Linked DNA regions of Coturnix japonica. The protein of the gene in region 1 purifies or fractionates together with the protein of each later gene. This does not show direct contact. Links are inferred from orthologs where the notes say so. Each region holds a gene or a part of one and is shown in the gene's direction. Other genes may lie near its edges.

Evidence for each region.
Region 2: the proteins of HSPB11 (region 1) and IFT22 purify together in Homo sapiens (affinity purification with mass spectrometry; 3 studies listed by BioGRID and IntAct, with this or other methods). This does not show direct contact. The link is inferred for Coturnix japonica from reciprocal best matches to the Homo sapiens genes IFT25 and IFT22.

The regions. Positions count from the first base shown.
Region 1 is NC_029523.1:22,426,389-22,431,344, reverse strand, and holds HSPB11 (intraflagellar transport protein 25 homolog), read left to right. Parts: upstream 1-2,088; 5' UTR 2,089-2,122; intron 2,123-2,227; exon of another isoform or gene 2,228-2,284; intron 2,285-2,379; 5' UTR 2,380-2,383; coding exon 2,384-2,490; intron 2,491-2,694; coding exon 2,695-2,801; intron 2,802-3,156; coding exon 3,157-3,225; intron 3,226-3,383; coding exon 3,384-3,427; intron 3,428-3,714; coding exon 3,715-3,822; 3' UTR 3,823-3,965; downstream 3,966-4,956. Other genes in the region: LRRC42 (leucine-rich repeat-containing protein 42), read right to left, coding at 239-370, 1,628-2,088. UniProt on the Homo sapiens protein: Component of the IFT complex B required for sonic hedgehog/SHH signaling.
Region 2 is NC_029534.1:2,513,892-2,519,347, reverse strand, and holds IFT22 (intraflagellar transport protein 22 homolog), read left to right. Parts: upstream 1-2,107; 5' UTR 2,108-2,168; coding exon 2,169-2,207; intron 2,208-2,461; exon of another isoform or gene 2,462-2,467; coding exon 2,468-2,547; intron 2,548-2,622; coding exon 2,623-2,712; intron 2,713-3,036; exon of another isoform or gene 3,037-3,247; coding exon of another isoform or gene 3,248-3,341; exon of another isoform or gene 3,342-3,431; coding exon 3,432-3,634; intron 3,635-4,048; coding exon 4,049-4,197; 3' UTR 4,198-4,680; downstream 4,681-5,456. UniProt on the Homo sapiens protein: Small GTPase-like component of the intraflagellar transport (IFT) complex B.

The DNA.
Region 1 (4,956 bases):
AACTTGCACACTGGGAGGACCTTTGAGATTCAGCGTGTCCTTTGGATCACGTGCTTCGTGTACAGTAAGTTCTGTATTTTGTTTACCTCAGGTGCAGGTTTTATCAACAACCCAAATCTTCAGCCTTAAACGCTGCTGCCTGTGACATTTTCCTTCAAAGTCACAGCCCGATTCTTTGAACTGTTTAGTAGCAGCAAAAGCAAACGTCCTTTCTTGGTACATGTGAAGCAATGAGTACCTCGACAGAGCCTCTTTAGTGAGGTGTTCCAAAAGTTCATGGTCATCTCCAAGTTTACAACAGGAAAGATCCAAACAGGTCAGCTCCCGGAAAGACTTGATTTCTTCCAGCTTTTCAGAGATAACCAGGTATCTGTAAGGAACAAAAGAAGCTATCGCTGTTGAGGAGGATAATAAAGGTCCCATGCTCTCAAATACAAGCATAATGCAGTTATTTCTCACATATCTATGCAGAAGTTGACAGAGATCAGCCAGCTGTTGTAACTGCCTTTCAAACACTGTTCTGCCTACAAAGCACCTGAGCTCCCAGCTTCTCCTCCAACGGATAGCACACTTGCTTTGACAGAGTACCAGACTAATGATTAAGACTTCGACTTGCAAGCATCGCTATATATAATTGGGCCCTATATTATATATAGGGGCTTATTTACAGACCATTGCTCGCTGGACTCCAACCAGAGCTGTGGCTGCACCCCAGGCAGCAGTTACACAGCGGGTTATTTTCTTTGGCTGTGTTGGTTCTCTGATCCGATTCACTCTGCAGCCACGCAAGCATCTGTGCCGGAACTATTCAGCAGGAGATTTAGAGATGGGAATGCGCTGTAATATCACCTACCTCCATCTCCCCTGTGTTTATGGCAAGACAATCCCTCAACTCACTAATATCTCCTGAATTTACCTCTTCGCCCCCATGGCAAAGCAATCCCTGAGGAGAACATTCTCAGCGGTGAAATTAGGGGTGCTTACTATAATCCCTGGAACCTTTTTGCCTATGTGAATAAGAGCATTTTCTCTGTGCTGGTGCCCATACTGAAGCACTCCACCACATCCCTCTGCCACGCAGCTCAGATGGGTGGAAGGCAGTTGGAATACAAGACAGTTCTTGATAGGTAATGCGAGTTTTACTATGAGTGGGCTCTTAGAAATGAGGCTCATAAAACATGTCTTAGCGTCTTACTTCCTGGATTTCAAAGATTTGACATTTAACCGAGCTTGTTTTAATGATAAAATATGCCAGAGGTAATTCCATTTCTGAATGGAGCTCATAAAAGGTACCTGTACTAAAAGAGGGAGTACCTTGAAGGGATAAAACAAGGTAATTGACCTCTGCTCAAACATTCCTGCTGTGCTTGGCACTGCAGATAAACGTGCCTGTCCTTTGAGTTTAAACTGAATAAAGCAGCCCTTTCTGAATGTATAGATGGAAGGCAGACTCATTATATCGCTGCCCAAGACTTCAGCAGGAGCAAAGCTTTAAAAGCAGGCCCAGTTTTCAGCTTGGTGAGGCACTCTAGTAGGAAAAGAAACTGTGGATGTTTGAGATTGAGAGAAAACAAGAGAACCTGAAGCACAGCAGCACAGATGCTGATGTGTCACTGGGTGCTCCTACCTGTTCCGCAGACACAAGGAGCACAGCACCAAGCTGCCATACGCCTCGGTGAACTTCTGCAGGGCTCGCAGTCCCGTCACGGGTTCTGTGAATTTCTGCCTCGCTTCTGCGGCCGAAAAGAGCTTCTCTGCGATCTGCTCCGGGAAACCCACCAGCGAGTCGATGTGGTCAACGTTGTCGGAGATGTAGGCCAGCACCAGGCTGAACAGGGACTTGGCCGAGTAGCGCAGGTTGCCCTCCTTGGTGTAGGTGAAGATGAAGTGCTCGGTCCTCGGCCTCCTGGCCCTGTCGTCCTCCCCGTTCAGACGCAGCTCCACGGAGAACCCAGCGGGGAACAGGCGGACAGGCCGCGCTGTGCGGGCCCCGTTCTGGATGCCGCCCGCACCCGGGCTCACCACGCGCAGCTCCCCACGTTCACGCACGTAGATCGGCCCGGCAGCCGAGTGGAGCCAGTACGACATTCCCCACGTCCAGCACTGCGAAAAGAAGCCAGAGGTGGGTAAAGCTGCCGGGGGCGGGGGCTGGGGAAGGGGCCCGAGAGCGAGCAGGAGCCGGGCCGGGCTGCGGGGGGAGCTGAGCGGGATCCCGACCCCCCGTTACCTGCCCCGGGGCCGCCCCGACACGCCGTCACCCGGCCGGGCCGCTCCGCCCGCTCCCGCCGCCCATCGCGGGGCCGAGCCGGGGGCGGGCAGCGGGGGGCGGCGCCGTTCGGTTGCCGGCCTCCTGTTGGGTTCCGTCCTTTGCTTTCCCAGCTCCATGGTGAGGATGCGGGCCGCTGACTGGTGTCTGAGCGCGGCGGGAGCTGCCCTCGTCATGGCCACATCCAGCGACACGGAGCACCCGGCCCGGAACGTGGCGGACGGGTGAGGGCTGCGGGCCGGGATCGTGGGATGCTGCTCACAGGGCTCATAACCATGAGCTGAATCCGGCCCTGCAGCACAGCAGCCCCGCTGCACACGGCCGTTCGGTTACAGCACCCCACATAGAGCGGCTTTCCACTCTTTATTCTGTTTATTGGTCGTAAGCAATGAGCCGCAGCGGGTGCTTTTGTGCTGTTTTCTCCACAGAAGTTCCGACACGTTCTGGACGACAACAGGGATGTTCCCGCAGGAGTTCATCATTGGATTTCCAAAGCGTGTGACCATCAGCAAAGTGGGCATCCAGTGCTACCTGGGTAAGGGCTCCCATAGCAGCACATGGCTCACGTTGTTTGGGGCACATATCTCTGCTTATATGTACACACTCACAGCACCGTCTTAGTTCTGAATAGTCACATTTAATACACATTAATGCATTAATACATCACAGAACCATTAAGGCTGGAGAAGACCTCTCAGTTTCCCCCTCCATGACCCACTGCCCATGTCCCTCAGTGTCACATCCCCACGTCTCTGAAACACTTCCTATCCCCTACATTAGAGCAGGCGTTAATTATAAGGTACTTTGTAGATGAAACATGATGCAACAAACATAAAGATCCCGTAAACCTCAGCATTTATACTGATACTTTAAATGCATCTGTATTTTAGTGCGGAGCTTGAGGATTGAAAGAAGCGTATCTAAAGACCCAGTAGACTTTAAAGAGTGCGTTGAAAAAGGTAAAGCTCTGAGCATGAAGCGGTGGCACTTGGGCTACATTGCTGTTTGCAGACATAGAATGCTGCATGAGGGTTACAGGCCCTTCAACCTGGTGAATTTCTCCCAGCACTGCACCCTGTTCCTTATTATTTGCTGAAAACAAACCCATGTTTTCTAGATTTGCAGCACACGGAAGGACAGCTTCAAATGGAAGAATTTCCTGTGAGTATACACGGGATACACCGTCATGGGGTGGGATGTCTAAACTAACTGGGTGGAAGCTATGAGAAAGACACGATTATTGCCAAGCTGACATTAGATGTATTGCCCTTTGCTGCTGCTTCTCTGTTGATGATGGTGTGAAATGGCACCTCAAGTTACTAAAAGAACTGAACTTACCTCTCATTTGGAAACAAACATCTCTATCTTTGTCATGAGCTTCTGTAAGTAGTTTGATAGTTACGTTACTACCAAGAATGAGCTAACGTTATTTCTCCTTTTCTTTACAGCTTCCTGATTTTCAGGCCACTTATTTGCGATTCATCATCAAATCCGCCTTCGATCATTTTGTGTCGGTGCACAGGGTGATGGCAGAGGGCACAGCAGAAGACACTTAAGTCTGGCTTAAATTTGTACCTCTTCTTTTTGGTATTATATTTTCGTATCTCTATCATAAGAAATATTTATTACAAACTGTGTTTAGGTCAGACTTTGTTAATACATGAATTAAAGCTCAGTTTCCTGTGAGATGTTTCCCTTACACTCTGAGTAGAAAAGGTGTGAAATACTTAAATGAGAGGTATTACTTCTTACTGTCAAAGAAGCTCTTCAGAAGTTCTTATACTGGAAATTTGCTCATTAACTCAAAATAAACTGTTTAATAGGATGAATGTAAGCTACTAATGCTTGCAAATAACCAGAGGGGAACAGAAACCAAGCGAGAGCTGTGCTGCTCTGAGAGGTTTGTTTGTTTATTTGTTCGAGTAACGGCAGATCAATCCTTTGTTTCTAAAAATATTTTCTGAAATCAGGTCACAGCTGTCAGTGCTTTATGCTGTGACTGTCATAACAAATATTATAGAAACAAATGTCCAGAGATTGTGTCATTCAGAAGCCTTCTGAGGTGAGAGAAACTGAACGTTTAGGAACATGGTTTGTATGCGAGAGAGACAGAGAAACTTAATGATGTGAAATCAGTTGTTTTGCCTGAAATTGGCTCTTGCAAATGTCACCACCACGAAGGTTGAACCTGCACCGTATTCTTAAAGAATGTAGATGTTGGTGTCCAGTCATAACAGCTGACTGACAACAGAGCTGAACATCTCCAGACACATGAATGGTGAACCACGATACGGATGCTCTCTAAATGCACATGCGTTGTTCTCTTTCTAGTTGTTTCTTGGATTTTGAGATTTTAGTGTTTTGTTTTGTTTTTTTTTAACTCTCAGGTCTGTGAAAGCTTTATCCCTTGACCTTCTGTATCCATATAGTCTTCACTCTGATGTCCTCTTTCTATTTCAGTTTTTCCAAGACGGTGCGTATTTCCTGGGGGTGGTAATTCCAAGGCCCCACTCCTCCCTGCAAAGGCAATAAAATTATACAGTGAAGCTCAAATATACAGAGCAGAAGCCTTTAGAGCACAGTGGTTAAATCAGAGCGGTGGGTGGGTTTCCTTTGCTCGGCAGCCGTTGCACAGGAGATGGTGTGTGCACAAGTCACACCCTGCTGTGTAACTGGGACAGGGCCCATGT
Region 2 (5,456 bases), on another chromosome or scaffold:
TTTTATGAATGCTTTATCTGAAATAATTTTGCTTAATTCATTTTTCCCCCCAAGGAAAAACTGAAGCTTTCCTCTGCTATGGGAGAGAAGACCCTCTGAAGGGCTCCCCTGCTAACACAGTGAACATCTGTGGGTTCTTTCCTCTCAAACACTATTCTTATAGGGGATCTCCTTCTGATAAACCAGCAGGTCATGGCAAACAATCCTGTGTACCACATCTTTAGAAATAGTGCTGTTTGGAACAGATCAGTTTGGTCTGCCTCAACGCAAGCAAGTTAACACCACGTTATCCAATGTACCAAGGTCACCAAGATCCATCGGATGATCTGCTTGATCCTAATCATACCAAAAAGAAGGGGAAAAAAAAGGAAAAAATAATATTGGATTCTATACAGAAATCTGAGTGCTCCAAGCTGGAAGCTGTAGACCCGGCCACTCACAGCCCACCCACCTACAGATCAAGATGGACTGGAACAACCTCCTCCATGAGCCAGAAAAGCGATGGGGGCTGGGAGGTGGGAGGAAGAGTTTCATATTTCATCTACCACTTCTAATAGAAAACAGAACGTGGTGGAGGGTTGAAAGGAAAATGGCAAATCCCTGGAGATGCTGAGTGTTGGCCTCTCAAGTCAAAGCTGTCAATCACACCAAGTCCCCTCCAACTCGTACTTCTTGAAGGGAGGGAACAAAAGAAGGCAATGGACTGGCACGTTTAGCCACTAGGTGTTACTGTTGCTCCACAGAAACTCAGAGTAACAAAAGCGACATCTATTAGAGGCATCCTAAACAGTTTTAGCTTAAGAGTTAAAACCACCGGAGCTAAATCTCCTCTCTAGATTCACATACTATGAACCAGAAAATAAGAGTATTGGGATGTGTTGACTTGGAGGGGCCTCTGACTTGGAGACTCTTATCTGCAATTCAAGCAGCAAGCACCACATGTCATGATAGAGCAATCACTGCATCTCTGTTTGAATTCCCACAGACATTTCCAGTGCTAAGAATCATTTTACTAACATATTATTAATAGCCTGCAATTGCTTTGGAAGGAAGAAGGAGGATCTGTCCGCACAGAATCATCTGGAGATCATTTTTGCTTGCTACCAAAACGTTATGGTGAAAAAGCAGCCATATCATAAATGCAAAACATACAGACCATTACCAGGACAGCCTGGAAGCAGTTCAATTACAGATTGAGTTTTCAGCCGATGGATCAGTAACTAACGGAACTTTAACTCCTAAGGCAGATGCTGATTGTAACATCAACATCAAGATGCTTTGAAAACATCACCCTAAGCGGACAGGCAGCTTAATTCCTACTTTCTAAAGCGACCTGAAGCCCTAAAGCACATGAATAGATCTGAAAATCACACCTGTGCTCTCCTTGTTCAGTGGCTGATACAAACACAGGAGGATGTGATCTGATACTTCATCTACAAATCAATCCCTATTGCATTCTGGGCAGCTGCACCAGCAGCCAGCTTTACCCATTTTTAGTCCATTATTTCCTTCTAATTTGCTGCCCACAATCCAGCCCTTTAGATCACATTTCCCTCCATGTACCTGTGGATGTGCCAGCTAATAGAACTGCCTTGATCACTTCCCTCTGGGTCACCCATCCCATTTATTGGGTCTGAAACACGAGAAATACCGCAGCAGCACAGAGCATTAAGGACAGGCTGCCCCATGCACTGTGAATTCAGCCTGACTCACACACGTACCCCCACAAACCAATAACACACAGACAGAACCAGCTCCCAGCCGAGAGCAGAGCAGCCCTGACTCACATTTAGAACCCGTAATAAACATTTATGTTATGGGAACACTTAAATGCAATGTTTGAAAGCTCGTCTGATAGCAGGGCTGTACGTGGGCACCAAACAGCTCCGGAGCGGCACAGCTGTGTGCCAGATGGCAGCTCGGGGCTGCTTTGTTTGATTTAGCTGCCATTTAAAGCACGTTTACAGGGTTCACAGACCACCCGCTCCCCCCTCAACTATTACAACCGCAACACAACAGCGGCAACGCTGAACTGCCCTCATCACCCCGGCCGGCCCTACTTTATACCCAGCCCTTCCACCACGTGACGGCAGCACAGCCAATCGCAGCGCACCCTCCCTCTCCCCCTTCTCTCCCTCCCGTTGCTAGGCCACGCGTGGGCGGCCGCCATGTTGAAGGCCAAGGTGTTGCTGGTGGGGCCCTGCGAGGTGAGGGAGAGCCCTGAGGCCGCTGCTTGTCCTTAGGGCTGCATGTAACCCTTGGGTATCCTCATCGGGGACTGAGACTGACCCTAAAGGGCTGCACTTCCCAGGCGGGGCCTCAGTGGGACGGGGCAGAGGGGCAGGACTGTATGCAGTTATCTCAATGGAGGGCAGGGTGTTGGGAGCAACCCTGTGTTATTCCATTCGTTGTGGCTTTGGTGCATTGAATTCATACGGTTGTCTTTTTATTTTCTTGCATGTATCAGTCTGGAAAATCCGTGTTGGCAAATTTTGTTTCAGAGAGCATAGAGGGAATTGGCAGCTATGTCCCGACACAAGGAGTAAGGTGAGAACAACAGTGTAGAATGAACCGACCTGCAGGAGGTGGTGGATAATATCATGTACCTGCTTGTGTTCACAGGATCCTGGAGTATGAGAAGCCGAACTTAAATGGGAACAGCAAAGGAGCTGGGTGTCGATTTGAGCTGTGGGACTGCAGCGGTGATCAGAAGTAAGCAGGCATTGCTGTTACTTCCTCTGGGTTATTCAGTTCATATTAATCATGTATACACAACGTTCTCATGCATAAGACCCTGAAAGCAATGATCTTTTGGAGATGAGGAATATTCCCACCTCTTCACTCCTGTATGAATATGTATTGCTTTCTATTGTAAAGCATTTAATACTGGGTAACCCTCTCTGTGATGCCAGCTGACTGTGTTAGTTTTGATTAAGGACTGAATGTAACAAGTCCATGGTTCTCAAAATGAAATCAGAGGCAAAGCAGAGGCCCTGCCTTTATCTGTTTGAAATTATTTCATGAATGGATTTCAAATAATGTATTTATATGATGGAGGCCTTTAATTTCCCGGGATTACAGTTCTGAACTGGACAGATTAGTTTTTAGGAATAAGTAAGAAGGTTTATTTGGAATATCATAGATATTGGCGAGATCACTAACATTATTTTCACAAAAAGCTACTGAAATCATAAAGTCATAGAATTGTATGAGTTTGAAGGGACCTTTAATGGCCATCTGTGAACAGGGACACCCACAGCTCCATCATGTGCTCAGAGCTCCATCCAGCCTGACCTTGAGTGTCTTCAGGGATGGAGCATCCACCAAGGTACATTGTTGAGGTGGGGAGAAGAAAACTTTGCCAAGTTTGACTGCATGTTTCCATTTTCCAGCTATCAGTCTTACCATTTTCCATGCTCCTCTTTTTCAAGGTTTGAAACATGCTGGCCAGCTCTTATGAAGGATTCTCATGGCGTAATAATAATCTTCAATCCTGAGCAGCCCAGTCACCTGAAAGAAATCGAAATGTGGTACTCGTGTTTCGTGCAGCAGCAGCCACTGCTCGATAGCCAGTGTCTCCTCGTTGCACATCACAAGCCAGGCAGTGCAGAGGACACAGAAAATCTGTCCTTAGGTGAGAATACAGAATGTTGCTCAGAGTTTTCAAACAAGTTCTTATTATAAGTATTAATATATTAATACATATTTAACATAACACCACTCTAATTTTGATATAATTCAAAACTCTTAGCAATTCAGTAGTAAAATGCAATTCAGTGCTGAATTATTCAGTTATGCCTAATTGAATGTGAGACCAATGCCAATACTTTGAGTCTTAATTATAACATTTGAGGAATTTAAACTAGCAGCAAGTTCTTGTTTGTCAAGCTATGCTGCATTTCGTTTTCACATTATATGTCATTTGGGGTATGAGACATCAGATACTACTGAATTCCAGCTGATGTCTTCAGCAAGAACTGTCCCATGACATTCATCATGAGTGCTGCATTTAGGAACATGCCTAACTATTTTTTTCTTGCATTCAAAGCTTACCCATTGAACAAGCTGAAACTGATACATTCCAACTTAGAAGAAGATCCTGAAGATGTTCGGATGGAATTTATGAAATACTTCAGAAGCATTATAAATGTATTAAATGAGAGCAGAGAGAAGGAAGAAATGTCAATTATTTCATAACACTAGAAGAAAATAAAGAGAAAGGATTGTTTTAACTTTGTAAGCCGTGCTAGCAACATCCTTTGCAACTTTTTGACTCTGGCAAGTCAAAGTTGCAGCCTTTCTCATGACAGCTTTTCCTCTACTGCAACAAACTCACCCTCGTTGGGGACAAGATATGGGTCATGTTGAGTAAGAAGGAATCAAAACCTCAGTGCAGTGCAATTACTTTGGCCTATTCCTGGAGCTCCAATAAGCTGGAAAATAAGTGCTGCATTTTTCAGAGGAGGAAAAGCTGCTTCAAACTTGGATTACTGTTCCCTGTTGTACTGAAATAAGTGGTTTCATAGTTGATTTACTTTCTGTTTTGTTTGGTTTACATTCATCCCTGTTCTTACTGTATTCTGCTGTGGAAGGCATTTTTTGTAATGTAATACTAAGGCAATAAAATTGTCTTTATAATAAAATTGCATCTTTTTTTGCCCTCAAAGGGAAAGTGAATTACATTCTTGTATGTCTTATCAACTTCCTTAATTATTAGTGAGGAAAGCTGTGATAAATTTGTAGTATGTTTCACGCTAATTAGATCCAACGAGAGAAGTTTGCAAAAACTATGGACTCAGATAGCCAAAGAAATGATGAATGAAAACCAGAGGAATATATCTATACTGACACTTTTCTTTTTAACCAGGGGACAATTTACAGTAGAGAGGACCAGGGCAGCATCCCATCTTACCTTGTTCTGCAGCTTGCTTTGTGAAGTGTTCCATCAGTGGCTTATGAGAACCACATCTGACTCACAGCACTACATCTTGCAGATTATTTCATTTCATGTTCCATGCCACACAGCTATGGTTGAGCTGCAGCTGTTTTATAGATATAATATAAACAGCCTTGTCCTCTAATACTGTATTTTAGTTAATATCTTTTATAGAAAGAATATTAAAAAAAAAAAAAAAAAAAAAGAAAAAGAAAAAGAACCATTTAATATATTTTAGTTGAAGACAACAAAATTGAGTGCTTGGGTTTTTCAGTCATCTGGGTTAATCAGTCTGCTACTCTTAAAGTTCTTTCTTTCCTCAGTAATTAGTAGCCTGTTCTTCTGCAAATCTTCTCCATCTTCCAAGGTGGCAAGAATAGATGTCTCAAGAGATGTCCTCAAAATGCCCCAAACTCCTCAAGGCAAATCAATAATAAGCAGCATTCCCTTTCTTTTGTGAATTCAGTCCACTTGGTGGGATCCCCAATAGTAGTCTAACAATGATTGATTAGCAGCTTAA